4 linked regions of the Oreochromis niloticus genome follow. The protein of the gene in region 1 interacts with the protein of each later gene in a biochemical or structural test. Links are inferred from orthologs where the notes say so. Each region holds a gene or a part of one and is shown in the gene's direction. Other genes may lie near its edges.

Region 1 (7,206 bases):
GACGCATTATTTACATGAAGGACCTGAGACTCGTCAGCCTGCAGCTTCCTGCTCTGCTATCGGTTTTGCTCAGATGAAACGCGTTGAAAACATGTCTGCATGAGCTTTCTCAGACTTTTAAACTCCTCCTCCTCTTGTGTCTGGTCTTCCTGCGCTGAGTCAGTGTCTGAGATCATTGTCTGAATGTTACAGTACATAGTATTCACTTTAATAAATACCTGCAGACATGAGAAAGCTGTAAATCTAAAACATGACTCTAAGGTGGTTTTTCCTTTTATTCAATTCTTTAAATTAAACCTGAAAGGCTGAACCTGAGGAATCACTGTCCAAATACTGACAGCTGACAGTACACCTGCTCACCGACAGGTGTCACCTGACTGCACCCCCAACCACCACACACACCTCCATCCACACCTGCTTTACTAAAACTAGATTAAGTGAGAGAGCTGGCCACCCAAACTACAGGCATCAAAATAAAAGCTGCAGGTGTCTGTGTGTGCGTGTGTGTGTGAGAGTGAGTGTGTGAGAGTGTACCCAGAGCAGGATATCCCAGGTAGAAGCGATCTGCTCCGAGCCAGCCCAGAAACAGAGACAATGCCACGGCCACTTTGTAGGAATAACCACTCCTGACAGGAAACACAGAGAGCATCAAACCACCTGAAGCTCACACACACACCAAAATCTATACAGGAGTGTGTGTGTGTCTGTGCTTGCACTGTGAATACTCACACATTCCTGCAGGGGATGGATTTGTTGAAGCCGACCTCGTCCCCGCTAAACCTGAACACCGTCCCGTTGGAGAGCCGACAGCTGATGTTTGGAGCTGGGAGGCACTCCACTGCGCATGCACGCACACGAGCACACACACGAGCACACACACACACACACACATACACTTGTTTAGATGCAGTTATGATTGTATTCACGCCATTGAGCAGCTCTGCATGATTCATGATTCGTAATAATCCTTCTTTATCTGATCCCAGCTTCAGTGCAACCCCTCAGTTCATCCTGTTTGAAAAACTCTTCTCTCTTTATACCCCACCCCCAAAATAAAGCACAGTTTCTCTTGACTGGCTGACCTGTGGAAGCCTGCTGAAGGGCAGCTCTGCAACATCTTCAGGTTTAGAGTCTGCCTGTTTTTTAAGCCACCGCCCACAAACAGAAAAAAATCTAATCTGAAGTGAGACTCACCCCACGCCGTCATGTCCCTGCAGTTCTCTGGCTCCTGAGTGGATTCGTCGATCTTTGGATCATTGCATTTATACGTGAGCAGAGTGAAGGAAGGCAAACACACTTCAGTTGGAAAACATCTGCAGCCTGTTTCTACGTGACACGGCGTAGACTGTGGTTTAGGGGCGGGGAAAAGAAGTCGATACAGCATCGTGTCAAGATACTGTCTGGATACAGGGACCCCAAATATCGATACTTCATTAAATAAATGAAAATACTCTGGAATCCTACAAACAATCTCATGCACGCCATCCTGAGATAACGTTAGCTTCCTCGCATGTACAATTAAATCAGCAGCTGCTTGCCGACTGTACAGCTGTTTTCTCTGTACCTGGTGCTGACTGTGCAGGTGTCCACAGCTTGTAGGTGTTTCACTCACAATGATCACAGGTCATCTGACGGAAAGCAACATTTCTCCAAACACTCTCAGTCTTACTGCGGTCACTCTCAGAGACTGTTGAAGGTTTGCAAATAACTGCTTTATAAATGCAGACTGATTGCCATCATGTTCCCATCAGCTGCTGAACGCAGATGTGATAATTAAACGTGAAATTCTGTCTATGGAGACAGCAACAGATGCATGATTTTCAAATTGTGACAAATCATAGTTGTAATAAACTTTGGTGAATTATCAGAGACGGACTGCATTCAGTTGCAGACTAACTTCATCTTATGGCAACATTTACGGCAGGTTTTAGTGACAGCCTTGGCTTGGTTGACAATAACTGAACTTTATCTTACTGGGTAAAACAGACACTGATAAAGGACACAGAGGTTAAAAATCACAATAACATCGTATCATTAGGTCTGACTGAACGATGAAAACAGCAGAGTGCTGCACTGAGTAAATATTCTGTGTTTATGAAACAAACTGATTCTCCTGATTCGGGTTTCTGAGCTCTCCTGACACAAGTGAACTGTTCGGTCTTCAGACTGAAGTTAAACATCAGATCGTAACTGCAAAGACAACGGAAAGCTTGTCCTCCTTTGAAACTTTAATCTGACCACACTGATCGAAAAATATCGATCAGACTGAAAAACCCTTCAGGTCCCAAACCTGTGAACACACACTGCTTTTCTATGAGAGGTGAAGCCCGCATTAAGCCACGGAACCCCCCAAAACGTCCAAATGTAACGTTTTGATCTGAATGTCACAGAGAAGCTATGGCTAACGTTAGCCGCCCCGTAACCCCGGTAATGAGGCGTTAAAGCGCGGTAAACACGGGCGGAAGGATATTGTCCGAGTCTCAGGTTCTGGCAGTTCTCCGCCTCCTCGCTCAGGACCAGCTGCAGGTGCGAATAAACGCAGTAAAATAAGAGGCTGAGCGCCCCGGAGCGCACACACAGCAGCCGCCTCCGGGAGGACGCCATGATTCCCTCAATCACGTGACAGGGCGGTACCTTCACGGACTTGCAGCATGCTGGGAACTCAGAGTGATGTAGGACCGGGAAGGCTCGGCAAACCATTTATATTTATTATTTTGGTTTTATTTGTATCGTTTTCAAATCTAATCATTTGTAACCATAAGACACATATATAAGTCTTGTTCTTGTTATAAAATCAGCTATTTAAATAAACTTAAATAAAATGCTACCAGGTAAAACAGTTTCAACCTGCTTCATGTGTGTTATTTTCTCGTTTAAGTATGGATATTTTATGTCAGACGTAGAAATAATCTATCTTCTTTATTGTGCTAAAATAATGAATGTGCTTTTAAACAGAATATGGAATTAAAAACAGTTAAACTAATGATAAGAAAACAAAATGATCCTTATATTATGCTTTTGCATTCTTAGATTGAGATTTCCTACAGCCATGAATGCGGCATTAAAGTGACGCTGGTGGCAGACTGGATCCAGTTTATGTGAGTTTCACACCAGTTTGAAACTCTGGGAATCTACGTGTTTTTCTGGCTTAAGTGTCGCTTCGTGTGCGGACTGTTTATCTGTTAGAGTGCGGACCGGAAGCGCAGTTTCTGCCGCAGTTAGCGGCTAATGCTAGCGGAGCGGAGTTCTCGAGTTCTCGGTGAGGAGAAAGAAGAGGAGGAGGAGGAGGAGAAACTCCTTTAACTCTTTACTTTATTCCCCTGATCTGAACTCCGAGGCAGACTTTGTACCTGTGTGCGTTTGTGTGTGTGTGTGTGTGTGTGTGTGAGAGAGAGAGGTGGTTAAAGTGCGGCTTTCACCTGTTGTAAACTTTGACGCACCTGCTCGCGAGCTCTGTGACGCTATGAGGTGAACCAAGGGCCAAAAGTGCAGGTTAAAATATGTACAGGTGAAAATACCGTCTGTCCGCCCCCTCCCCCTCCGCTGCTCAGTTTCACTTCCTGATTTCTCAGGTGAGCTGACAGGTGAGTGCAGCAGACCCCGCTCTGCGTCATGCTGTTTGGTTTCGGTGATGGGGGGTGGACCGTGTGTGTGTGAGGGAGAGAGAGAGAGAGAGACAATAGCTCGGCCTGGCTCGGCTCGGCTCTGATTGAGAAAATATTCCGTGCTGATATCGAAGCTCACCTGCCACACCTGGACACTGCGAGGACGGCCGTGTTAGCACGCAGGTGGGAAGTACCTGAGTACTTTCAGTACCACAGTGAAATAAGGTGTGAAGTAACTCCTTAAGTATGAGGTACAAGTTTTTAGAAAGTAGAATGGTGAAAAGTACGGTGGCCCGGAGGGCACAGTGCACGGCAGGGCGAGAACGTGCAGGTAAGGTCAGAAACGTCACTTTGTGAAATGGAAACCAGTGAACACCGTTAGGTCTGGGATACCATTACCATGGTGACTCAAAGGGACTCTTAAGGTTGCGGTCACGTGACTGCGTGCACCTGCTGTGGTGTGTTCAGGGTGTGGTGCTATGTCACACAATTCTCCGGTGCTCGTGACGGTTTTGGTGTTGATGGTACGTTCTCGGTTTCCGGTTCCGGCTGCCTGTCATAGTTTTCATCTTGTTTTTTCCTGTTTGGTGTCAAATTTCGGTGTTTACAGGCCTGTTTCATAAATCTGCTGTGTGTAGTATTTTCTTCACTCAGTACTGGTTTCTGTGGTTCTTCAGTTTGTAGTATTTGCTGTTTGTAGTATTTGGTGCCTTTTGTGTTTGGAGTTCGTAGTTTGTTATTTTTACCATCTTTACTTTATCGTTTTCAGGGATTTTCAGCATCACTTTGGTTTTTGTCTTTTTGTAGTTGATGGGGTTAGTTACGGTGCCCTCTGGCAGCTGGGATAGGCTCCACCCCCTGTGACCCTGATTTGGATAAGCAGAAAGAAATGAGCCAAAGGTGTTTGGTGGTGTTTCTGATATTATATCTTTGGTGTTCTCAATGTTGGGTCATATTTTGGCCGATTTTGGTGGGAGAAAAGGTGAGTGTGACTCACCTGAGACAGACAGTGCACAGGTGCTGACCTGCATGTTTTCCTGTGACTTCATGCAGTGTTGTTGATGACAGAGAAAGAGCGGTCAGTATGAGTCGTGCTGTGAGGTGTCAGAGCACAGGTAGCTCCACACCTGCTCGTATTTTAGTAGGTGTTTATCAGACTTGGTCCAGAGCTGAAGGAAATAAAGTTGTTCTCGGTTCTTCCTGGTTTAGGTTAGGTCCTCCAGAACAGAGGACGGCGAGAGCACAGCAGAGATGTTTGAAAATGTCCCGACAGGTAAGTCCTGACTATAACTCAAGAGAAACCATCCAATGATTCGCGTTTATCCGAGACCACGTCTCACACGCTGTTTATGTCCTCAGTGTCCTCGACGGAGCGTCAGCAGGTGCTGGCAGCTCTGGAGCGTCTGCAGGCCAAACTGGTGCAGCGGGAGGAGTGGACCCACAGCGATACCCTGGGAAACCTGCGAGAGACGCTGCAGAGCCCGCTCTTTAACCACATCCTGACTCTTCAACACTCTATCAAGCAGCTCCGCAGCCAGGTGAGCCTCACTGAGCATGCTCCGTCCTGCAAAATAGAGTGAATAGGATCGCTCTGATCCCAGCACGGATGTTTAAGGTTTACCGGTACTTCACCTGGACTGCAGGAGGCGCAGCTCAGGTGAAGGAGTTCACACAAAACAAAAGAGCCTTAAATGATGACTTTTATATTAACAGCTATTTCATGGAATATTTCATTCACAAGAATTTTATTGTTTTTATCCACAACCGTGTTTCCCTCACCTCCTTTCTCGTGATATAGATTGATATGGATGCTGTGCACTGTATGAAAGAAACAACCTCGCAACAACAAGATAAGAGAGGTTAGCTAGCAACAGGGAGCTAGCTGCAGCGACACACTTTCTATTTGTCTTCATCCCTTTACTCCACTGAGCCTGACACAGGGCTGCAAACATTACGAACATAAAGGTTTTTCATTTGTACAGTTTCTTTATGACTAACTATCATCTACTGTGATCGCCTGTAGCATTTTTTTTAAAATATCATAGCCTATTTTTTAAATGTATGTTTCGACTGGGTCCACAGTCTGAAAAGTGGACTGTAAGACGGACCCAACACACACACAATGTTTGTGCTCACAGTTCAGCTTTTATTGCCAACTTTCACATGTACAGCTATACAGTCTCTGCTCAGAGTTGGTCTCGGCACGCATGCATTTGCCTCTCACTATAAAAAGAAGAGACTGTGATTACCACCGCTACCACCTGTGGCCTCCCCAGGCACCACCCACTTGAGTTCACTGCGCCGCCCCTCCCCTGCAGCTAGGCCAGGGACCACACTGCCGCCAAAAGGACATTCTCATGTCCAGCAGGGGGCGACTCCTCATTTTGTACAAAGAAGTCTGTGAGAAAATCGGGGAACTATTTCCTGTGGCTGTAGCTCAGGAGGTAGAGCAGGTCATCTGCTGATTGGAAGGTTGGTAGTTCGATTCCTGGCTCCCCTAGTCTGCATGCCTAATATCATTGGGCAAGATCCTAACCCCCACTTGCTCATCAGAATATGAATGTATGTGAGTTAGAAAGCACTCACAAAGCATGTGTGGGTGTGTATGGGTGAATGTGGCGTGTTGTATAAAGCGCTTTGAATACTCCAGGAGAGTAGAAAAGCGCTATATAAGAATCAGTCCATCAGTCCAGTCCATGATGAATTTCAGGGCTGACTGAATCAAACATGAGGTCATTTTGGAGATTTTGGCGCTGTCAGAGTCACAGCAGGAGCAGGAAGTAGACAAGGGCGGGGCTATACTGTGATTGAGAAGTCACCACTTAATGAGTGAGCAGACTCCCTGAATTTTTCAGTCAGTTCATCTTTTATATACAGTCTCTATGTCAGGCAGACGATGCACTGCGAGATAAATCGGTCCTGACAGCTGCTATAGAGCTGGAGATGAGCAGAAGATGTCCAGAAACGCATAAACATTCCTGATTAACCCGGAAAAGAACCTGAGTTCAAGTAAAACTTCAGAAATGGAACAAAAAGCTTTCAGTTAGGTTTACTTCAGTGGGTGTTTCTCATCACATGTTCTCCATCTATCCGTGTGAGTGTTTCCCATCAGATCTGACAGGTGTAGCCCCGCCCAGGTGTTGACAGCCTATCGGGTATCAGTCCTGTGCTGCCTCCCGCCCACCGCTGTGACCCGGGCCGTCGAATCCTCTCTGCATCGCCATCTGTATTCAGCTCGCGCCTGCGCTGACGTGAGCTTTACAATAAACAATCTGCAGGCCAAATTAAGATAATGGCAATAACCCGCGGCGGGCTTCATATTCTAAGTGCTGCGAAGGTCAGAGCGAGTCTATGAATGCGCCGATGGAAGCCAGCGGAGGGTATATGAAGCGGGGACTTCTCCCTTTATTTCTGGCCCTCCCTCCCCAGCGTGCTGCAGATCTATCAGGCTTTAATATCTGGTGTCTCGGTTTGAGTAACGGCCTTGTCGAGGTGGTATTGATGAAATGGCTCGGGATCCTGCTCCGTCAGCCCGGCCTAAATAAGCCGCAGACTGATAAGTTTCCACAATGTGAGTGTAAAGGTCATTAATACATTACCT
Region 2 (6,894 bases), about 4.2 Mb from region 1:
AGTGAAGGAAGAAGCCTTGAAGCTACGAAGAGCACGTTTACAGGTGAGTTAGCGTCGTTTCTGTCGGTGTTTCCTTCCTCCTGCACAGGTAATCAAACCATCTCAACTCAGCCTCTGGAGTGAAAGGTGAAGCTGAAGGATCATGTGTGACATAACACTGAGTCAAAGAAGTTTTTTTCTGTGGTTTTTCTCACTTTAGGTGAAGTTAGTTGGATGTTTACCGGACTGAAAGCTTTGTCGCTGCTTGACTGCAGTCCTCACAGGCCTGTGTGACAGTTGTGGTTTTCTCCTTAGTCATTTTGTGTGTTTTTGTTGGAGTTCCCTCACAGTTTAACGTGCTTGCCTTTATTTGTGTGCTTGTCTGTATTGCTGGGATGCTGACTGTCAGCTGTAAACTCCACTTTTTATTCCTCACCTTACTGGTTCGGCAACACATACAAGTTTCTACCTGTCCGGAACTGGAGTTTCACAATAGTTTCGACTGCATTCCCAACCTGCTGCGTCCTCCTCTCCACAGTCGGCATATTTACACACTCATTGTTTGATTTGGGACTAACACTGTCGATTAAGACTGCTGTTCTCCTAAGTTCCCTACTGCACATGAGGTGCTTTTAAGATTGTGACTCGTCCTTTCTGGATTTTTAAAAGTTAATCCAGGTTTTAATGTTTAGATGTGCTGAAGGTTTCTGTCATCGCAGCTGTAGCTTAGTTCAATTCAAATAAAAGGGGAAAAAGTTTAGCCTGCTGGTTTATTCCAGTAAAATAAATACATGTGTGGCGTCCATTTCCCAGAATGTGGACGTGTACACTTAAAGATATTAACCCTCAAGCAATGTAGATTTTACCAGCTAAAATAGCAGAGTGTGGTCATTTATGATCACACTACTTTTAAACCGAGAAACGCCCACACGCATCTGACAACAATGGCCACAAAATCCCTGATACAACATTAAAAGAGCAAAACACACACTGCATACTTGTTTTTCCCATTGAGAAAGTGCTGGTACATTATCCCAGATATATCAGATATATGGAGTTTGTTATAGTTAAGAAGTCTCAGTCTCTCCAGATGTGATAGTGTTTGCTCTTCCTCCCATCTATTTTCACTGCTGTAGTATTAACTTTTTTGCAGTCATCATTTAAACAGGGTTTCATACTTTGTCAAAAAGTTGCTCACTCTAAGGACAGCTGTAAATGTGTCCAGTTCCCAGCTCTTTGAAAAATACAGGGTACTTTGTGGTACTGATTGAGTTTATCAGACGTATATGGTTTGCTTTATCTATTACCCATTTTCTAAACTTGTGCAACGTGTGTACAAGAAATATTACATTTCTTACAAACCAAAACTTTTTTCTTTCATACGACAGAACAAAATGCAAATAAAAACTAAAGGTTGGATTCGAGATAAGCTGGGTGACTTTAACAACAATTATTATTATAAAGATATTATAATATCCAACAAAGAATCGAACTAGAGGTCATATATCTCAGTTCCTTGGTTTCTCTTCTCTGGCTGCCTATAAAATCTAGAATTTAAATTCAAAATTCTTCTCCTTATTTAAAAAAAAAAAAAAAAAGTAGTAGTATCATATCCTCCCCACTTTACTCTCAAACTGCTGACTTGCTTGGGATTCCTAGAATTTCCAAAATTAGAATTGGAGGCGGAGCCTTCAGCTTTCAGGCCAGTCTCCAGTTTGGATCCGGGAGACAGATACCTTCTCTACTTTTGTAAATGTTGCTTTTTGAGAACCCTTATCATGAGCTGACCCTGAACCATCCCTTGGTCATGCTCCTTAGGCTACATTTCTTCTCCACTCACCTCTCACTGCCCATGTGTTTATATGCTGCTACTGCATGTCGTTACCTTTGTCTTCTCTCCCATAGGCTGTTTGTCCTCGCCTCTCTCTATTCTCCTTTTTCACTCCTTTTTCTTTCTCAGGAGATTTCTTCCTGTTAAAGATGAATTTTTCCTTCCCGCTGTCATCAAGTGCTTGCTTATAGGTTGTTGTCTGATCTTTACTTCACAATATAAAGCATCTTGAAGTGACTGCTGTTGTGGCATAGCACTTATAATAAAAATTTAATTAAACAGTCAGGTTTTGTTTTGCTTCTGGTTAAAATAAAACCTAAAGTAGCATTTTATTTGTATATGTGTAATATGTAAAGTGTGTTTTGTGTAGAAAGGGTTCAAATATCTAGCTCTGAAATATCTGATATTTTGCACTTTTACAATGAGTTGGAATAATTTACATCCTGCACCGTTGCCACTCTTGTCCATAGATTTAATTTTTATATACATTTTATATTTATATTTCTTATATATTTTTATATTAAGGTGAGAGAGACACTGTCTTTCTCTTTGTCGGTATGACATGTACAAAAAATCTGGGAGTCTTTGAATCTTGAATCTAATTGCTAGCAAATATCACTAAAATCAACATGTTTAAATCCTAATATTTTTTTTTAAGATGGCATACTGTATAATTCCAGTTCTAAATGACTCTATATTTAAATACAGCTGGGGTCACAAGTGACGCTGCTCAGTCTTGACTTGAAGGTTAAAGAGAAAATACCTCTCGTAGCATATCTTACTTAACGTGTGAGGTATTATGCAACATCCCACATCGTCATCTCCACCGCCGTCCAGCAGTGCAGGACTTTAGCAGTCGTGCATATAATTCCAGTGACACCACCAGCATTGCTCACATTTCACACTTCATTTTTCCGTCTTTAACTAAAGGAACTTCCTTTTTCTTTCCAATTTTGGCTTCCATGATAAAATCAAGCAGCACAGCCCTCTTCTTCTTTCTTTTTTTCTAAACCACTTATTCACCTTGAGTTTGGTTCGAGGAAACTGCAATGGACGTGTTCGTTAAATAATCATGACCTCAATAGTTTTTGCCGTGATGGAGCAACCATCCACCATACACGTGTGACCATTTGCATCCTCATGCATAAGGGGCTGAGCACGTGTGGTATAACTCATGTTATGGCGCTGGGATAGCTGTAAAGTGGGTGTTTGCAGCACTTAGCACACAAGACAACACAAGTAAGTCCACTGAGTGTGGAAGCCACAAAGCCCTGGCCTGTGTAATTACAGCCTCTTTGCTGATTGTGTAAACCTCTGGAGTATTTGTTCCACAAAGCTCTATATTTACACAAGGAGGCTTTGCTTTTCCACATTCCCCACCGAACTCGTATACTGGAGCCTTCTTGGCTCCGTCGGTTGGCGTTTGTTAGTTTGTTTCGATGATGCACCGTTGAAGTATTTTAGTTATGCTCAACACTTAAAGCAGGCCTCTCCATTCATAGTGAAACTCAAGCGCAACAAGGTGACCTGGAGTCGATAGTCAGCAGTTTGCATATTGAATAGCCAACAGGAGTGGCCTCTCTATGAAAGCAAAACAAACAGAGTATCCTGCTGCCGAGCACACTGCAGTCCTCGGCGTGAATGAGTGAATATTTACCTACTATGAATGGTTTTACCTTTGCTACCTGTTTGTTTTTTTAGCAACCGTAGAAGTCTGTTTATTAAGATCAATTAATAATTCACACCTGGTGCTCTCGCTGACCTCAGGCTGGCTCTTCCACCTGGCTGAACCCAAGTTGGCATCTAACATCTGTTTTGTTTCTCAAGTTTTATAATACAGACACTGATCTGTGGATGAGGGATTTAGGAAGTAATAAGCTGTTGGATAGTGTTTTCTTCAAGCATGTAGCTTCACCTCCTCTTTGTCCCCCGTCCTCCTCAATGATTTGGGTACATGTCACACTGAACACTAAAAAAGGGGAAAAAAAAGGCTGCAACACGCCCATGCTGTGGGGCATATGTAAATGTTAACCATGGAACAGAGATAACATCGGGCTCTCTGTTGCCATTTCCTGATCCCGGGACACAGCCTGTGTAGGCACATCAGGACACTTACCCGAAGCTGGAAGATCCATAGTGTAGCAAACACCCCGTCAATTATTAACAGGCCAGTGCTCTCATTCTTCCCACGTAACCATGGCACCGAGCAGACAGAAACTCAGCCAGCAGCCTGGGATCTGCTCCTGCCTTGTGGGAAAGTAAGACGCACACATACCACTGACAGCGGGAGCAAGTGGACCTGTTTGACTTTATGAGCCTGTCACAAAGGGAACTATTGGGCACACGGACCTATGGAGCGCTCTTCGCATGACTTCTCCATTGGAAGCAGAGGGATGACAGTTGCTACTTTTATTTACTTTTAATTTTTAAACTTCTGTTTTTCATAGTTTTCTTTTTTTTTATGGCAAATTTGTGTTTTTCGTGAAGAGGCTTGCAGACCTGCATCAGTGACCATGTGTGACTGAGACACAGACACGGGATTATTAACAGATTTGCAGACAGCTGGAGATTTTTGGTGTCTGTGAATGAGTGGGTCAGCACTGTTATCATTATGAAGTTGACAGAGCGACTCAAACGACTGAAGCACTTGGGCTCTGTGCCTCCGGAGCCTCCGCCGCTGCTGGTGGTGCCCGTAAGTGAATGGATAGTAGTTATTTTATTTGTCTGTACTTCCTTTTTCCTATTACAGTAACCAAGCAGCATTATATTAACGTCAGCTTTAAGAGAACTTCACAGGTTACTTCCCCCCCCCCCCCCCCCACACTCTGTTAAATATCATCCTTTATTTGAATCCACAGAACTTTATTTATATTTCTTTATTTTTGTTGAACAGTTAGTTGAAAGGTTTCGATTTACAGTTAAAGAAAAGGTTTGTGAAGTGTTTTAAATCAGCAGAATTTCTTCATGTCTTGTTCATCAAATGTGTCAAAGTTGTGGAAAATGTATTCTTTATTGAACACACTGACTCAGTGACAGTTCAACTTGGCAAAAAGTAGGTGAGCTTGTTAACTTAGTGACTTGTAAAACCTTTGTTTATCTACGCGTGCTCCATAGCAAGCTTTTTCCACAGTTCGGTGTAAGAAGGAATTCATTTTCACTTCAAAGAATCTGGGATATATTTATAGAACAGGCCTCGTTAGGTCATCTCACTAAGGTCAAAGATTCTGAACATTGAAGCATTGTTTTTCTTCTATTTCAATCCCTCTGTCGCTGATTTCCTTGTGACACAATTCTTTGCTCCTTCACCGAGCCCACACCCGAAGGTATAAAAAGAAGGCCCTGAAGCCTGAGGCTCCTTCTGTTACGCTTCACAGTTTGGAGGAAAAAAAATAACAGGCAGCGCACAAAAACAACAAAACTTTCTCTAAAGATACCTGTGGATTTTCCTCCTCTGTCACAGAAGTGTTGTGGACATCCATCCTTCCTCCAAAGCTGCTCTTTATTAGGGCTTTTCTTGTAGTCGACAAAATGAACATTGGTTCTGATGTGCTTTTATCGTTGCGCTCTCTTTCGCCTCTTTCAGAAGTACGCGTCATGCTCTTGGTATGATCTTCTCAGGAAGCGTACTCCTAAGGGACCTCCTTAAATTTCTTCCTGTTTTATTGTGGACAGATTAACATGGAGACGGTTATGTAGATAGCCATCATCATATCATACGAATCTATGATTCTTCCCATACAGCCCTGTGGAAGTTGCTGTGATAAAGCCATAACTGACAGAACATACTTCTCATGTCATTGTTTATTTTTATTTATGAGGAGGAGTCCTTTTTGTAACACACATTTACAATTTCATGTCTTAATTGGAACGCCTGACCACAAGTAGCTTTTAGAGGCATATTTTTTTTCCTTGAACTGATTGTGCTGAGACCTTTTCTTATAGTTAGTTTAAACCTCTTAACCTCTTTTGATATTGAAACGAAGCCTACACCCTGCAGTAGTATATAGATATTTTAGTCTCAGTCTTCCATCAGCATCTAAAATAATTATTTTGTAAAAAGAGAATAGGAAGAGAGACACGTCATATCTCTGGATATGACGTGTTGAAGGAGACATGTCTAAAACTTTGCAATTCAAATCTCTGCATATTTTATGCAAACTTCTACTGAAACAAGGTTTTTCCCCACATAGAGAAATTTATTTTTACTGCCCCGAGAAGTGGTTTGTGACACTGCTCCAAGGTATAAAAAGCAAACAAACTCTTTCTTAATTTCAGTCTAATTTATTTAACCATAATTGATATTTTAGATGAAATAACAGACTGATATTAATTACTGTATGTGCAATAATATTAACAATCATGTGAACACACCCTTAAAAACTCCCGACCAAGCAGTGACTGTCTGTTATTTAGCGCTAAATAATATTTTTCTGCCTTGAAATGACAAAACTTTGAGCTTTGTAGTTCTTAGCCTAAATATTCAAAGCTATACAAACACACAAGGGAGTGATTACACTACCTGACATATTTAAGGTGCTTCCCAGTTCTCCCTAGTTCAGCTGGGTTTAAGGCAGAGCAGATCCACCTTAAAAGCCATGTTTATTAAAGGACACTAGAGAATGACTCTCAGAGTGGGCAAAGACTCAGAGGGGAGGAGCGCTTTCCAGGTGAGGTCTTTCAGTCTCTCTGCCTTGTGTGAGACAAACACCCCAGCTGGTCATATTACAATTTATTTCAGCGCCAGGATCTAGTTTCAGCCACCATCCATGCAGAGCTCACTGGCGGGAGAAGTAACCTGAGATTACTGGATCTGTGATTGTTTTTCTGTTGCCGGCTCCATATGGGATATAAAGAGCTGGCTGTTTGCTGAGCGCTGGAGGCAGCAGGTGTTTTGTTCAGGGTGAAATCCCAGTAGGAAATGGAAGTCAGGTTCAAAGATCACATGGTAAGTGCAGATGAAAATAAACGAAGCATTTATGGACTTAGTTATGCTTCCCTTTAGTGTGAAAAAGCATAACTGTTAAAGATTTCCAGAAATGTAAGGACACAAGTCATTAGTGATGTGCATCAGCTCCCTTAGATTA
Region 3 (7,704 bases), on another chromosome or scaffold:
TTCTTCTGTGCATCATAGAGTTTTAACGTGTCTTTGTGGATGACATGCTGAACTGCATTAACAGGCAGTGATTTCTGGAAGTATTTCTTTGCCCATGCAGTGATTTCCATGGTAGAATCATGCCCGTTTTTAATGCAGTGCTGCATGTCACAGGCATCCAGTATTAATCTTCAACCTAGTCACTTGTGTACAGAGATTTCTTCACATCCTCTGAATCTTTTGGTGATACTATGTACTGTAGATGACAAGCTGTTTAAAATCTTTGCAATTTTATGGAATTTTTCCACAATTAGTAGACACAATTTTTTTCCAGATTGGTGAACCTTAACCTATCTTTACGTCTGAGAGACTTTGCCTCTCTAAGATCTCTTTTTATACTCTCTGACCTGTTACTGACCCGTTGCCAAGTAACCTAATATTTTTCATGAAATACTAAAATGTCATATTTTCTATCTTCTGTTATTAAAAAATATAGTTTTATGTGATTTGTAAATCATTCCATTCTGTTTTTATTTATATTTTACACAGCGTCTCAAATTCTCTATAATAGGGTTTGTATATTCAGCTCGTAGACATCCACGTGAACAATGTAAAAATAGTTGTATGAGTACATTTAATTTCCTTTCATACGTAATGAGTAAAAAGTCATCTTTTTCTTTTTGAAGGTTTTAAACTTAAACCACATGTATTTACAAGCCATGTCTCGTTCTTTTTTCAGCTCCTCCCTTCAGGTGTTGCCACCCTATCCTCTGCATCACACCAATTATCTGCATGTCCTTTCTCACTACATCCACTAACCTTCGTTTTAGTCTTCCTTTTCTCCTTTAGCTTAGCAGTTAATATTAAACATCTTTTTCCTAATACATGCACTATCACTCTTCTACCCATGGCCAAACCATCTCAACCTTGCCTCTTTTACTTTGTCTCCAAATCAGCTCCATCCTGAGCAGGCCCTCTGATATACCCTTTCCTTATGCATTTTTTCATTCTTTATTGCTCTTTTTAATACATTTTGAAATACAAATCATCTCTGAAATGTCATACATGAGTAAAGGATCAATAATTTTGCAATCACACACAGGGGATTCTCCCACAATATTGGAGACATGGTATATTTCAGTTATGCATTTTCTTATAATAAAGTCAATGTCTTTCAGCAAAAACACATAAACATTAATATAGGTGAATCAGTAGGGAAAATGTAGCAATATTATGCCCATTTGTTGGATGTCTACCTGTAATCAAAACAGTATTGAAAAAAATATGTTTCCCACTCCTTTTTTCAGTGTTTACATACACACATATCTGTATATTGGGTAACACAGTGCACAGAGTGTAGTATAGAGCTACCAAGTGTTTACTGTCTACTAATGCTGCCAGTCCATTTATAGAAAGCAAAAATGATCCCATGCTTGAGGCTACTCATGGTAATTTATTTACCCCTATCACATCACCAATATGAGATGTTCAAAAAGCCTGCTTTTTCAGGAGGGCCAATATGAACATAGCCTCTCTTATCTAGGTTATCCAGAGCGCAGGGTTGGAAGAAGCCATGGGCTACCACGATGATGCTAGAAGGCTTCTGACACAATTTACTAATTAAAACAACACAGGTCTAATCTCCAGTGCCCCTAGCATTAACTTTTTGATCAGCTCAGAATCATATGACTATGAACTTCAAACAGTGTGGTGGGAAAACCCACAGGAAGCCAAATGAATATTCACAGAAATGCCATTCTGTATGGCAGTGATATTACTGCTCTCTTTCATGTTGTTGGACAAACTACAAGAATTATGCAATGTCTATTTTATGCTAAATGAAATCCTTTTACAGCGTGTGGCATATATGAAAGAGTGGAAAAAGGTAAACACACACACACACACGCACACAGATATTGCACTTTTTACTACTACTGAGGACATGCTGTTTAGTTAACACTTCCTTTGATGTATAATGAGTGGTTTTATTGCACATACTCCTTTATTTGCTGCTGAATCAACGTGTTATTAAATGCAACAGGACTTTATTTTAGGAAAACACAGCTTTTTTATTAGCACAGGGATGACAGTGCAAACAAAAGGTTACCTTTTGTCCAATTAGATCAGTCTCCTCGCGTTTGGCATCAACAATCGCTAGTAGTCTTTTATATTCTGCCGGCTTGTACTTTGAGCTGCCAAGACCATTTTTCATTCGCACTGTCAGTTTTTCTGCATGGATGAAAACAGATGATATGGATGAATTAGGATCACTGGAATTCTTGAAAATCTCATCACTTTTAATGTCTGAAGTAAAGACTTTATGCTGACTTCAGCAAAAAAAGGTTAGACAGAGGAGCAACACCAGTTAAGCTCTAATGGATTGTATGCGTAATAAAGAAATGATTGCACAGGAGGAGGGGGATAGCAGAGACAAACTGTGTCAGACGTTTTTTTTCAGTGCTTCGGCTTGACTCAAGGAAGCAGGTGGATAAACACAAGCTGTGCCTGTGACAAAAACAACAGACTTGAAAGGCACCTGGAGAATTCGACATGAGGGCTTCAGGTCAAACCGGTTCAACAGTTGAGTAGACCACTATGTCAGAAGCCAGAATATTCCAGCCATTTTTCACTCACTTACCAACATCTTCTGCTTTAATGCTTGTTATGAATGTTTGTAGATCCTTTCCACTCATCACTATTGAGCTTTATCTTCATGCACCAGAGTACCTTCAAAATAAAGACATTAATTATTGCGCTGCACACACATGCACAGCTTTGTTGCCTACAAAAAAAGTTTGGTGTGACATTGTTTAAAATGCTAGTTAACATCAACAAGTTTTAGTGTACTGGAGCCAGTGTGTGTGTGATATACTGCTGGAATGTTTTTTTTTTCCTTTTTGCCTTTGTTTTGGATTAAGCTTGGAAAGATTTTCGCACAGGATTCCTCTCCTTTCAAATGCATGGTGTGTGAAGAGATGGGATGAACTATGCAGGAATTAATTTTTCTATGATTGGAGGGAAAACAGATGCGCTGTTCTGAATCCTTGTCTATTTTTTGCCCATGTCTCCATTACATATAGACTTAAATACCGATTTTAAGGACAGCAAAATTATTACTTTTTCCATTTCAACACCAAATGGCAAGCCAAGGTTAGGATTCAAGACATAGGTCATTCTAGAAATGTCAATTTTTCTGTCCCTGGCTTTTACTACACTTAAAAACCACTTTATTTACAATTTATTTCTATGTTAAATTTGAATAATTTTTCCTTCCTCATTCTTTAATTTCACAATATTACAATTAGAATAGGCACCACCACCGCGTTTGTCCCCACAGTCGAGTATGGTGGGTAAAGGCTGTGTTTTTTTTGTTATATTTAAAATGCATCAAATCAATCAGATATGTTAAAAATATGATGACTGTGACACAATGAAGCAAAATGTGAAATAAATATTATAAGATATATAAAGAAAGTCATGGTCCCTTAAAACTGTGTCACTGGTGTTATGAGAAAAGTTTATTATTTTGAAACAAAACATCCCAATAATGACATCACTTGACTTACTTTCACAGATTTCCTGAAGCACTATAAAGAAATGGTCATGATGAGACCAGTGTCTCTTTTCATTTATCAGATTTTTTTCTGTTTTATCTCGTAATTTCATAATAAGCTTTTAGTTGAAGTCACTAATACAAAACAGTTAGGAAATTGTTAAAAAAAACAAAACCCAAAACAACAGAATATAAATGGATTAAATGACATAATCTGGTGAGTACAAGATGACTGACATCATGTGGTTTGATGCTTGCAGCATCTATTTTGTAAAAAGCATTTTCCATGAAAACTGTCACTGCTGTTACCTTCCTTATGGGTAACACTAGACCTCCGAGATAATAATTTTACATCCACTGAAATTCGGTACAGGTACAGGTTAAGATATAAAGAATGGCATTGTCACTCATTTTAAGTGTTCTTTATATGCTTTCATTTGATTTTATTGCTAATAAATGACTTTGCAAATATCATACATTGACGCTTTGAACAAACGCTTTGAAATAATAAAATATTATCTTATGATTTTTGCATCACATAGCATTATTCTAAATAATAATTAATAGAAGCCCCCAAAATTTGCATAAGGAGTAAGATAACACCAGTGGCGAAAAGGTGGCACATGGGTTAAATGTACAAAAGAAATATTTTTAAAAAATCATTAGGTTGTCATTTTTTTGCTGTTAAAACTATGGACATACAACTAGCCTAAAATATTTTCCAAGCCAAGCTCTGTTAATTTACTTTACCGATTTTTACCAATTATTATAGTCCTTAATTAAACTAGAAAACACTTAACTTTATCATTGTCACAGCTGCTACTGCTATAGTTTAGCGACAGTACTTGTGTAGAACCTATGCTCAACCTTACAAAAAAAAACCAAAACCAAGTGAACCAAAGGTTTCCTACAAGACCAAGCTCAAACTATACCTACAATAAAGTTACACACAACAATTAGCGATTATTTGCGTTGTAAACTAAGTATTTATACCCGACGAGCCACCTAGCTTACCTTGTTCTCTCCCTTCTACAGTGTATGGGTTGACAAAACAGGTAACCAAGGTAACTATCATCTTCTCAGTCATTGGTTAATTTAACAACGCGTACCTCTTCAGGAACGCCCCCGTATTCGCTTTGAAACCAATCAGGAGTGCACATCGGTTTCCCACATTCCCGCTGACGTCATGCACGCTCGCATTGCCTGGGACTGCTGTTGGAAGCGAGGAGCAGCCGAGGGGTCGTCTTCTTCACTCGAGTGTGGACGCGAGTTTCATTCTTCCACATGCATGGGACTAAAAGGCAGGACTTTACAGATGAAGTTACACATTCCAATGTAGATCCAAGCCGCAGCTCAGCCAGCGCAACTACAATCCTCCCAAGGTATGGAAATGTTTCTCTTTTCTTTTCTTTGCAAACTGCTAAATAATTGGAGTGAATACGCAGGGAGAAACGAGAGCATCTGTGCGCAGAGCAGGCAGGAGGGTATGGGCTGCTTACTTGAAGTCGGAAAGTGAAAAGAGAGTGGTTGCTTTTTTTCTTTCTCTTTTTTCCGTCTGTGCATGCGGCATAAGACAAGCTTCTTTTGGCTTCCTCTCAGCGGGGAAGAATCTAATACTACCCTAATCTGTTTCTTGTGACCGAATCATCGCAAACAACGCACACCTTTGAGGGACCTTCACGCGCTGTTTTTGATGCCATGCCTAACCGTGGGGGTGAAAACTTGGCCGGCTAATGTAAATGCACGGAAACTGCTCCGGGGTTAGTTTTCCTCTTGTAGAAAAACTCACTTTACTGTGGCAATGCCCTTGAAAACGTGTTGCTAAGTAGTGCAGGAAAAGGCAGGTGAGCTTAGAGTGTGGGAATCTCTGGAATGCGAGGTCGCCCAGGGGCGTAGATCCAAACTCTGCTCCTATTAGATTGGCTTACCTTTTACCCTCAGGTTGAACTAGCTAGGTTCAAACTACGCCATATTTAATGACTCTATTTTGCATTTTAAGAGGGTCGTTTCCTTTTTAACGGTAACCGTGACTCTACGTTGTCATCGTTTTGCACCGTGCAAGAACAACCTACCTTTGTGGCAGGGGTAGACTGAAACAGTAATTCAGACCGGGGATTTGAGTCCTTTCCAGGCCACCTTGTTCATGCGAACCTCACCAAACTGCTGTCTTTGAAGGCTTTTTACTGGTTACAAACTGAGTGCTTGCTCTTCAGAGTATCATATGGGCAGTGGTAGAAGGAATACTCAGGTACTGTTACAAATGTGCCTCTACTGCAAAGTGTATCTTTAGGTGTTACAAAAACACTTTAAAGTGCAAAGTGTTCTTGTCAAAAACAACTCTTTGTATTAGTTTTTAACGGCTTATATTTGTCTTCTTTATCAGTAGCATTAATTCATAGGGGAAAAACCATGTAGGAAAACCACCATATTCACAACAGTCTCATAAAATCACAATGTCAGTGAAACAAATGACTCGGGATATAATTTATAATTAAGATGACAAAATGAAAAATAAAAAATTGGCAGCGATCAAATATAATCGTAATTATATAAGCTCTAGGTTTCTATTTCCAAAGAAATCACATCATGAAGTGATTACTTTGTTATTAAAAAGGAAATCTGTAGCCAATACTATACAAGCATAACAGACACAAGCATCAAGTATAAACACTTAAGAAGTGCATGAGAATATATAAGCTACAGGTGTGTGTGTGTGTGTGTCTGTCTGTCTGTCTGTACACAAAATGAAAAAAGGAGAGGGAAACCAGTGAGTGCAGACCCACAGAGGTGGGGGTGAAACCGTGTAGGTGTAAATGTAAGCAGACAAAAGGTTTTAGAGTTGAAGGCGGGAAACTCTGGATTCCCAGAATCTTTAAAATGAAGCTTTTGTCCCAATTCACCAAGGTCAAAATACTCAAGCTGGGATGTGCCACACATTAGTAAAAAGAGAAATGAGTGATTCTAATGTGAAACGGCAAATAGTGGCTGCACTAAGAAATGATAAGGATTATAGAGAGTCTGTGAAGAAGATGAATAGTAAAGGGAAAAAAAGAAAAAACATTTACTTTTATATGTATATTTTTTATTTTTTATTGTTCTTAATTGTCATAGCTTGCTTTTAAAAGTACCTGCGTCCACAGTCCAAAACATGGACATTAGGTTAATGGGAGGTTCTAAATTGCCTGTCTCTGTGTGTTAGCCCTGTGATGGACTGGTGACCTGTCCGTGGTCTACCCCACTTCTCAACCTACGACAGCTGGCATTGGCTCCAGCTCTCCCCCCAGCTCTGAATTGCACAAGTGGTTAAAATGTACCCTCACAGATGACTTGTGGAAGTAGTTGTAATTCACTAGCACCATCACTGGCTATGGGTGTAGAATTAAAACTTACCAGAGCAGTTTTCTCACATGGCAGGTAGGGCTGGGCGATATGACCCAAAATTCATATCTCGATATTTTTTAGCTGGATGGCGATATAAGATATATATCTCGATATTTTTTTAAAGCCATAAAGTAAGAACAAAAAGAGAGTTCTTAGTCAAAGCTGTGTCCCAGATGTCACACAGGCACTTTTATTAACATACAGCATAGATGTACATGAAAAAAACTACTCAAAAATAAATTATGAGCATTTATTAAATAATAATGCTCCATAAATAAACCAAAACAATGTTGTTTTTGTGCATAACAAAAAGCTCACAATTGTGCAGTCAGAATGTAAACTAAAAGACGCTGAGCATAATAACATAGACAGATTTCACAGCTGCTCTGTTCCCAACTTCTGCTGCGTAACTGACAGCCTGGAGTTTGAAATCAGCTGCATAACCACGTCTCTTAACAGGTGCCATTTATGGTCCTTATACACACACAATACGGTAATATTACCTTGAAGCACAGTACGTATTACTCCGCGAGGCTCCTTGGTAGCCGTAATGCTCCGACAATCCATCAAGAGGTGCAGCTCCGTAGCTTACCAAAGTCGTACCAAAACATTTTTTGACAGATTGCTGAGCGCTGTGTATCACATAAAATCGGTTCGGTCATCAAGCACAACCAGAATTCATACAAAAGGCGCGCTGTCAACTTTTGAGAGAATGAAAGGATTTTAGGCTGTGCAGCCCCTCTGGGCTGCATGGCGTTAGCGTGGTTAGCTCGTTAACACGTTGACGCCAT
Region 4 (7,679 bases), on another chromosome or scaffold:
TTCTTTCCTCTTTTGCATCACTAGTAAAGGCCGGGGGTAAACGGGTGGCCAAGAAAGGCATGGAAGAGAATCCCACCCATGCAACTCCAGAAAAGGACACCAAGAAGTCTGATAAAATCAGGTATGCTCACACTGTGCAGTAAATGTGCTTGAGCTGAAAACAAATTTAACAAATAAGAATGCCCAGCAGGATTTCCATCATATAGGTCACTAACTTTGCTTTAAAGCTGAGTATAACTCTGTTTTAAAACCTGTGCAGCAGGTCCCTTGCCACCCCCAACAGGATGCAACAAGTTGGCATACTTCTAACAGGAACCCTTGACAAGGTAAACAAAGCGTTAACTCTTAAAAAAGCCAGTTAATTCCTTTCCGAGCCAACTGGGTTATTTGCAGTGCTTCAAAGTATTGTGGATAATAAACCTCCTTCCTGATGTTTTGCAGCTGAGCCACGACTTCCCAGAAACACCTGTGAGCGTGAGGCACAGTAAGGTGCGCCCCGCGGTGGAGAAGTTGCACTCCCCTCGGGTCGTTTTCATCCAGCAGCCGAGGAAGTATTGAACTTCTTCGGGCGTGCCCTAGAGGGAACCATGTTTAGTCAGCCGTTAAACACCAATGTGAAGTGTTAGGCACGTGAGGAGACTGAGACTGACAGGTTGCCTGTAAAGTGTTGATAGAGTGAAAGCTTTCAAGCTTTGTTTACTTAGAAGGAAGAAAAAAAAAAAGCTCTTTGGGGCCATGCTTGTATGTGAATACTATAAACCAGCACTTAATGCATCTTTTCTGGCATTATAGTAGAATTCTATATTTGTATTTGTCATCTGATTGGAAAACAAAACCATTTGGTGGGTATGAGTATGTTTGAAGGGAGGGGTTAAGTTACTGAGGGAAGTATATGGGGGTGCTTTTAAGGGGAATCTTCACTTTGTATTGCATGGCAATTGTATTAGATTTATTAAAAAAAAGGGGACTGCAAGCCATCACTGTGTTATGTCTCTGTTTATTTCTTGGAACTGTTTTCTGTTCATACACTCTAAAATGGCCACAAGGGGGCAGCAAATGGCCATTTGTAACTTTAATAAACCAGACTGTGGTCATGGATGAAGTCAATCTCTAAGATGCGTGCATCTATGCAATATATATGCTTATTTATAATTATTTACTTACTTTTTACTTATAATATATGCTTACTTTTATCCATCTGGCCTCTTTCATGTAGTGACTGAACCTTGATATCGTAATGTTCCAGCAAGTCCACCCTCTATGTAGCCAAACTATTTTAATTATCCCAATATGTGTGTGCAGTGAGTCATAGTTAAACAGTGAGATGGATGAAAGGAAAAAGAAAACTCTTCCATAAAAGCTCGCTTGGTCTTGTAGGATTCACGGAGCTGATCTTTGCTTTAGAACGTTTTGCCCCCAATTCCATTCAGAGCCTGTCCATAATCTATATCTTGACCATTTTTCTTTCTTTTAATATGTTGGATAAATTGCAGAAACCAGAAAAACCTCCACGTGTCTGGAAAGTGAAAGTCAAAAGGGATTGCAGAAGTGTTATTGTTTTTAGTGTCAAGGCTGTGCTACAGGTCACCTCTGTGCAAGATGAACCAGACAGGTGCTGTGACTACTGAGTTTTAATCATTTTCAGGGATGCCTCTTGAATGCAGGCTAGTAAACTCAAACTGCAGGTGCCATGTTACACAAGGTAGATGGAGAGAAAGAGAAAGCTGAAGAAAACAAACTAATCTGCTTTCCACTTTCTGCTCCTCAGGATGAGCTGCAAGAGACAGATGGTCAAACAGGAGTTTGAAACAGATTGGATAAAATAAAAACTGTAAAGAAATCTCTCTCAGCCAGAGTACTGCATGCTGAGCACACACAAGAATGACAGAAATTTGTGTGGATTCATGTCAGAAAACCAAAATGACTTAATTGATGTATTTGTTGCTAGATATTTTCAGTTCCATGCAGGTTTATTTCTATAGTGCAAAATCACAAAAGTCACCTGGTGCTTTGTCCTCTAAGGCAAAATCCTTACAATGTTCTGGAGTAAACGGCAATCAAGTGACCCACTTTGTGACGGTGGGAAGGAAAAAATCCCTTTAAACAGGAAGAAACCTCCAGCAGAACCAGGCCCATGGAGGGGCAGCCATCTGCCGTGACTGGTTGGAGGGTGACGGGACAAAACGCAGTCTAGCGGGGGGAGAAGACAACATTTGAATGACATGCTGCAGTGGTGTTTAAACACAGGGGGAGTGCAACGAGATGAGTGGAGAAGAAATGCTCAGTGCATCAGATGAAGTCTGAGTCTATTTTTCAGGTCTTATTGGAATCTGCACATTACAGCAGTTTCCAAGGGAATCGTGAACTCATAACCACTGAAGACTTTCACTCATTCAGTTGCTGAACCAGTTTCACCCGAGAGCATCAACAACAACAACAAAAAACAAACTCGGAAAATAGGTGTTTTATCTTTCTTTTTTTACTGGAAGAAATATGAGTGCCACTGTCCATGTTCCTTCACAAAATATATCATCATAACTGCAGGATAATAATACACACAAAGTATTTTTTAGTGCAAAATGCAGGAAATATCACAATGTAAAGATTTTTTATGTAAGACTCCGTTTTCCACCAAAACTAAGATTTCTGATTATGCCTTTTTCACAGCAGACTCTTGTCACCTCAGCACAATGTAGAACAATCATCATCATATCGCTTTATATTCTTGCTGTTAACGATAAAGAATTGGAGTTAAAAAAAAAAAACTTTTGCAAGATTACACTGACATTAAGATTTTCCCTCAGAACAAGCTGCATAAACCAATGTTACCTCATGAGGTCACCATAGACTAAGGTGCACTACGAACTTCATTTGCCGCACCGAACTGAATCAAACCATGTGGAAAACCCTACTCCGGATCTAATTGCAATGATCCAGTAACCTAATTTGACACATGTGCTGTAGTTCATGAAATACTTTATATTTATTACTATATGTAAAACTAGCATTTCGATCAAGCTGTAACATTAAAATGTTAAAGTCAACAGGTTTATGGTCAAACTATGATTCAGCAGTATGCACAAAGCTAATGAGCAACATCCTGCTTTCAGCAGCCACTAATACAGACCTAAACCAATTAGACTTCATTTACATAAAAGCTCTGACTCATCTTTCAACTTCCCTCCTTCTAATGCACATCGTCGAGGAGGAAATTACACAGCCTACTTGCTAAGTTTGCAAACAGTGAGACAACTGGCAATTTAATGTATTTAGCTATCAGTTGACTATGAAAGTTTGGAGATTTTAAATTGCCTACATGTGCCCAGAGTGAAGATTGTTGCTGAAAAAGGATGACCAGAAAGCATTAATGCAAAGCAGTGTGTTGGTGCAGCAGCCAGTCCATCTGGTGCCATGTTACTCTTTATGTTCTTGGAAGGATTAATGAGGCCATGCATATATTTTACAGACAGTTTAATGTTCACATGTAAAATCGACATCTGCAAAGTAGCACATAGCTGCAATCAGTTATCAGTGCAGAGTAAAACTCAATTTAGGATCTGAAACAAGTAAGTATGTTAATATAGTAATATATATATTAGTATATAAAATTGTCAGAAACTGTTAAAGACTGTATACAACATAGACCAAAGCATCCTATTATTGCTTTTCTTCCAATTATATGAAAAAGAAAAGACCACCCTGAAGATGTCTAAAGCGTAGCTTGTAAGAATACAATAGCTATACACAGTAACAGTGATTGAGCAAAATGTTGTGGACAGCGAGGCAAGCTTCAGCTGATATTCACTGGACACTTTTGGCTTGATTGCAGCATTTTAGGTTCTGCAACTTTTGGTCCACCTAAATAAATAATGGATTCTTCAATATTCTACAACAGATTTATTCCTGGCAATGTGGAAAGAGCTTCGGCAGATTTTGGAACACAAATACCTTTGTATGGAAAACTAATCTCAGTCCAAGGTCCATTCGCTACCCTCTCTATGTTTCCAACTTCATCACACGATTTAATTTCACTTAAGCACCTTAAAGTTTCATTTTCAGTTCTCTTCTTTCTACATATTCCCAGAAGGCTTCTGGAAGAAAACACAGACAGCTGATTCACTTCCTCTGGATTCACCTCCCATCCAAGACTGCAAGTTTCTCCAACCAATCATTAAACTGAGCTCGGGCCTCAGTGTTAGGCAGTGGTGCTAATTTTGGCATTGTGCAACTGTACTCTTTATAAGGATGGGAAAAACCTGCATCCAGCTGACTAAGAAGGTGCTTTTAAGACTTTTAAGACAAAGTTAGAGAGGCAGAAGATGGTTTGGGCATGTGCAGAGGAGGGATGGTGGATATAGTAGACAAAGGATATTGAAGATAGAGCTGCTTGGCAGGAGGAGCGTGTATCTAGAGAAAGAGGATATGCAAAAGTTTGGTGTGACAGAAGAGGACCCAATTGATAGGGTGAGATGGAGGCATATGATCCGCTGTGGCGACCTCTGAAGGGAGCATCCAGAAAAAGAAAAATTTGAAGTTTTAGAGAATTTCACACTCCTTAAACTAAATGCTTGCAGCTTGTATCTCTAGCATCCTGTCATGTCCATGAGGCATGCACACAGCATGAGAGCAGAAGAAAAGAAGCGGAGGAGGAGGGAGGAGGAAGGAGGGGTAGATCTGGTTTGTTCTCCGCTGCTGATCCTTCCCACAGATGACCTCATGCGAGAGAAGGAGGAGTCCGACGTCCCGTAGCCTACCTTGGTGGAGCAAGTGGGGACTGAACTCGTGTGGAGATACGCTCAGAGTGCTGGTGAAACTTTTAGGACTTTAATATCCATGACATTTATCAGGTAAGATTTAAAGCGTATTCACAGATCGTTTGTGTGGTCGTTGTTGTTGTTAGTTTGTTCACCAGTTGGGAGAAGTAGTGTTAAAGCGTGAGAGTTTTAGTGGCAGTTTGTTGGGAGGAATGTCGGGACATGCCCATTGAGCAGTCTTCAAAACCAACGGGACTGACAGCAGTCATTGGGATTTTTATTTTCAGTTGCACACACACATCCAGCCTCTTTGTTCGAGTTGGTTTCTCTGCTGCTTTTACTTTACGTTACTGAGATGCTAAATTAGGTCAACTTTAAGGGAAGTTGTTCGGTTAGTGGGTTAAAAAAATCGCTTTTTTTTTTAGCAGGTAAAGTTTCCATTCATTTGGATGTTAAAATCAAAGGAAGCAACTTTAAAGTAACTGAAGTAACTTTAATCAAAGTAATTAAAAAGATTTGTTTCATAAACACGTCGAGGTGGCCATTTAATCGATTAGTCGATGGCAATAATTTTTAAAATGGCCTCATCTACAAAAACCTCTGCATTGCAAAATTCTGAGCACAGTTTTCAGTAAGTAGTAGTTGTTGTTTATTCCTGTTTTCGTGTGAAGAGAATTATAGAAAGGTAGGAAAAGCATCACTTTCCAGGCAGGTTTTATCATGTCTAAGCATTTTAAACTTTTCTGGTGTCATTCTAAGGCTTTGAATGAAATACAGTATGAGTCAGGGATGGGATGGCCTTGGTCCACACCACATGGTGTGTTCAGTTGATATATGGGTGGATCCCTGGTATAATAATCCTTAAAGTCAGTCATGCAAATATATAAGGAATGGGAAACTAGATGTAAGGACTGCAGAATTAATGGGATACAGCAGATAAAATTCATCCACTGGGGAAAATCATCCAACTGCCCATATGTGTGTCAGAATAACTGGGAAAAACTCATTTCAGAGTTGGACTATTCATTGAAGGTGAAGAAAGACCATTGCAGAGTTTCTGTATAGTCGATAAAATGTGAAATGAAAATAAATATTTGGAATTTAAGATTTAATTGGTGCAGATTCGCATGCTACACAGTATTGAAGTGACCTAAATTACTTAATCACCAGTAATCCGATAAGAAGTGAGGTGAGGGTAGCTATGGACCAGATGTGGCCATCGGTGTGTTGTGTAAAGACTGTGAGCAATAAAATACAGCGCATCATCTTATGCACAGTCAACGTTATTTTCCCCTTTTAGAGGAAAAGGCTCATGGGCATTAAAAAAAGATGGAGGGAGGAGGAACACTTGAATTCAGGGTTCTATTCATAGAGATTTCCAGTGATAAGATCAACTCATATCACTGTTCAGTGGATTGTGTTTATTTTTTAGACTGCATGTCTGAAAGTTTCATATAGTGGTTAGTGTCTGTTATCAGCTTGCTCGGGAAGAACGGTGATAATTGTATTGTCCTGCTTATTAGGACACAGATGATTCCAGAAAGGTCATTACTTTTCTTATGACTGTGTGGTCTTGTTTGATGCTAATGCTCTGTATTTTCTGATTGGATGTGGTGGTTTTGAAAGCAAAACCAAATCCAGATATAGCTGTAGGCCTAAGGCTAAAGGACTGTAATCTTTTCCACCCACATAAATTGAGTCATTGAAGTTTGACCACTGGCTGGATATGAGTTCTGCTGCTTTCAGCATATTTCCAGTGGAGGAATCCTCCTGTAACTAAGCCAGGTGCTTTGAAAATCAAAGTTCCAGTTTTTGTTTTCACCTCCTCGGAAATTGCTTGTAAATGTCAGGATGAAGCTTTGATCGTCGATCGCATGTGAAGTCATAGATTCAACATGCTCTCTGATCACTGTCTCCGATAAAATCTTCATAACCTTAAAGCCTTCAGGCATTCAGCCTTGAAAGAAGCTGCCACAACATTTGCTATTTCCTCCACTCAGCTGCTTGTTTCATTTTAGCTCTGAGGGCACTTTGCCTCTCTAGTGTTGATTTTTCCCCCCCCCCATTTCAGACTCAACAGGTGGGACAGGCTTTGCTGCTGACAATCATGCTGATGGTCAGTTAACGGGAATATGCTCTGTATTAACTTTCCAACATAATTTCAGGCAATTTTACGCTGATTATGAAACCATTAGAGAGGATTTGCATGCCTCTGTGCCAAGGCTAGAACTACCCCAATTGTCTGTTATGAGGTGTTTGAATTGCAGGGCAGTCATCTTATTGAAAGTCCCTCAAGAGTTTGCTTCCCACTCTCTGCAGAGCCTGGTTCCCATGGTCCTCAGCCAGTTGGCTTATAACAGATGCTGGCATCAGAGTCGTATTGTTATGGCTGAGGAGGGAAGGTTACTGGAGCCAGTGACCTGACAGACAGCACACACTGAGCTGGTGCTGATAATAAGGATAATGGTTTTGTCCTATTGAAAGGACCCAGTCCATGGTTCCAACAGGAAAGCCAGATTTTTAGCGGCTTGTAGGGTTCAGGACTCCGTATGTGAGCCTACCGGATGGGTTCTGAAAGCCTTGGTGTAAAAATCTGGTGTGAGTAAGGGTAACCAAGTCTTACTGCACAGTAGCTTGTGTGTAGCCTTACGGGAGTGCAGTATTTTGTAACTACATTAGCAAAAAGTTTGAGAGTGCTACTGTGTTACATACAACTCTCCATGAAACTCCATCCGTTGTCATGATTAATTGCAACATATTATCTCTTTAGCTCTTCCCTCACATGATTTACTTGCATGCTACCAAAACCTTCTGAAATGTGATTGCACAGATTTACTATCAGTGCAAATCAGAATGTTTCCTGTAGCGATAATCTTGTGTCTTGCTTTCAGAATCAGCATCTTCATATGCAGATATCTGATTTTA

The links.
Region 2: the proteins of patj (region 1) and tjp3 form a complex in vitro, tested with the Homo sapiens proteins (2 studies listed by BioGRID and IntAct, with this or other methods). The link is inferred for Oreochromis niloticus from reciprocal best matches to the Homo sapiens genes PATJ and TJP3.
Region 3: the proteins of patj (region 1) and plakophilin-4 interact in a test that uses a peptide from one of them, tested with the Homo sapiens proteins (2 studies listed by IntAct, with this or other methods). The link is inferred for Oreochromis niloticus from reciprocal best matches to the Homo sapiens genes PATJ and PKP4.
Region 4: the proteins of patj (region 1) and tanc1b interact in a test that uses a peptide from one of them, tested with the Homo sapiens proteins (2 studies listed by IntAct, with this or other methods). The link is inferred for Oreochromis niloticus from reciprocal best matches to the Homo sapiens genes PATJ and TANC1.

Annotation. Positions count from the first base shown.
Region 1 is NC_031986.2:35,734,152-35,741,357, forward strand, and holds the start of patj (inaD-like protein), read left to right. Parts: upstream 1-4,191; 5' UTR 4,192-4,494; coding exon 4,495-4,587; intron 4,588-4,658; coding exon of another isoform or gene 4,659-4,683; intron 4,684-4,813; exon of another isoform or gene 4,814-4,814; coding exon 4,815-4,878; intron 4,879-4,964; coding exon 4,965-5,143; intron 5,144-7,206. Other genes in the region: tm2d1 (TM2 domain-containing protein 1), read right to left, coding at 535-626, 730-838, 1,195-1,268, 2,471-2,604.
Region 2 is NC_031986.2:39,936,111-39,943,004, reverse strand, and holds the start of tjp3 (tight junction protein ZO-3), read left to right. Parts: upstream 1-3,888; 5' UTR 3,889-4,421; coding exon 4,422-4,502; intron 4,503-6,432; exon of another isoform or gene 6,433-6,477; intron 6,478-6,483; exon of another isoform or gene 6,484-6,728; coding exon of another isoform or gene 6,729-6,755; intron 6,756-6,894. UniProt on the Homo sapiens protein: TJP1, TJP2, and TJP3 are closely related scaffolding proteins that link tight junction (TJ) transmembrane proteins such as claudins, junctional adhesion molecules, and occludin to the actin cytoskeleton.
Region 3 is NC_031987.2:14,968,493-14,976,196, forward strand, and holds the start of plakophilin-4, read left to right. Parts: upstream 1-4,703; 5' UTR 4,704-4,914; intron 4,915-5,604; exon of another isoform or gene 5,605-5,626; intron 5,627-7,704. Other genes in the region: coiled-coil domain-containing protein 148, read right to left, coding at 2,087-2,208, 2,618-2,672. UniProt on the Homo sapiens protein: Plays a role as a regulator of Rho activity during cytokinesis. May play a role in junctional plaques.
Region 4 is NC_031987.2:15,065,701-15,073,379, forward strand, and holds the start of tanc1b (protein TANC1), read left to right. Parts: upstream 1-4,671; 5' UTR 4,672-4,847; intron 4,848-7,679. Other genes in the region: dap1b (death-associated protein-like 1 homolog), read left to right, coding at 25-121, 260-326, 442-558. UniProt on the Homo sapiens protein: May be a scaffold component in the postsynaptic density.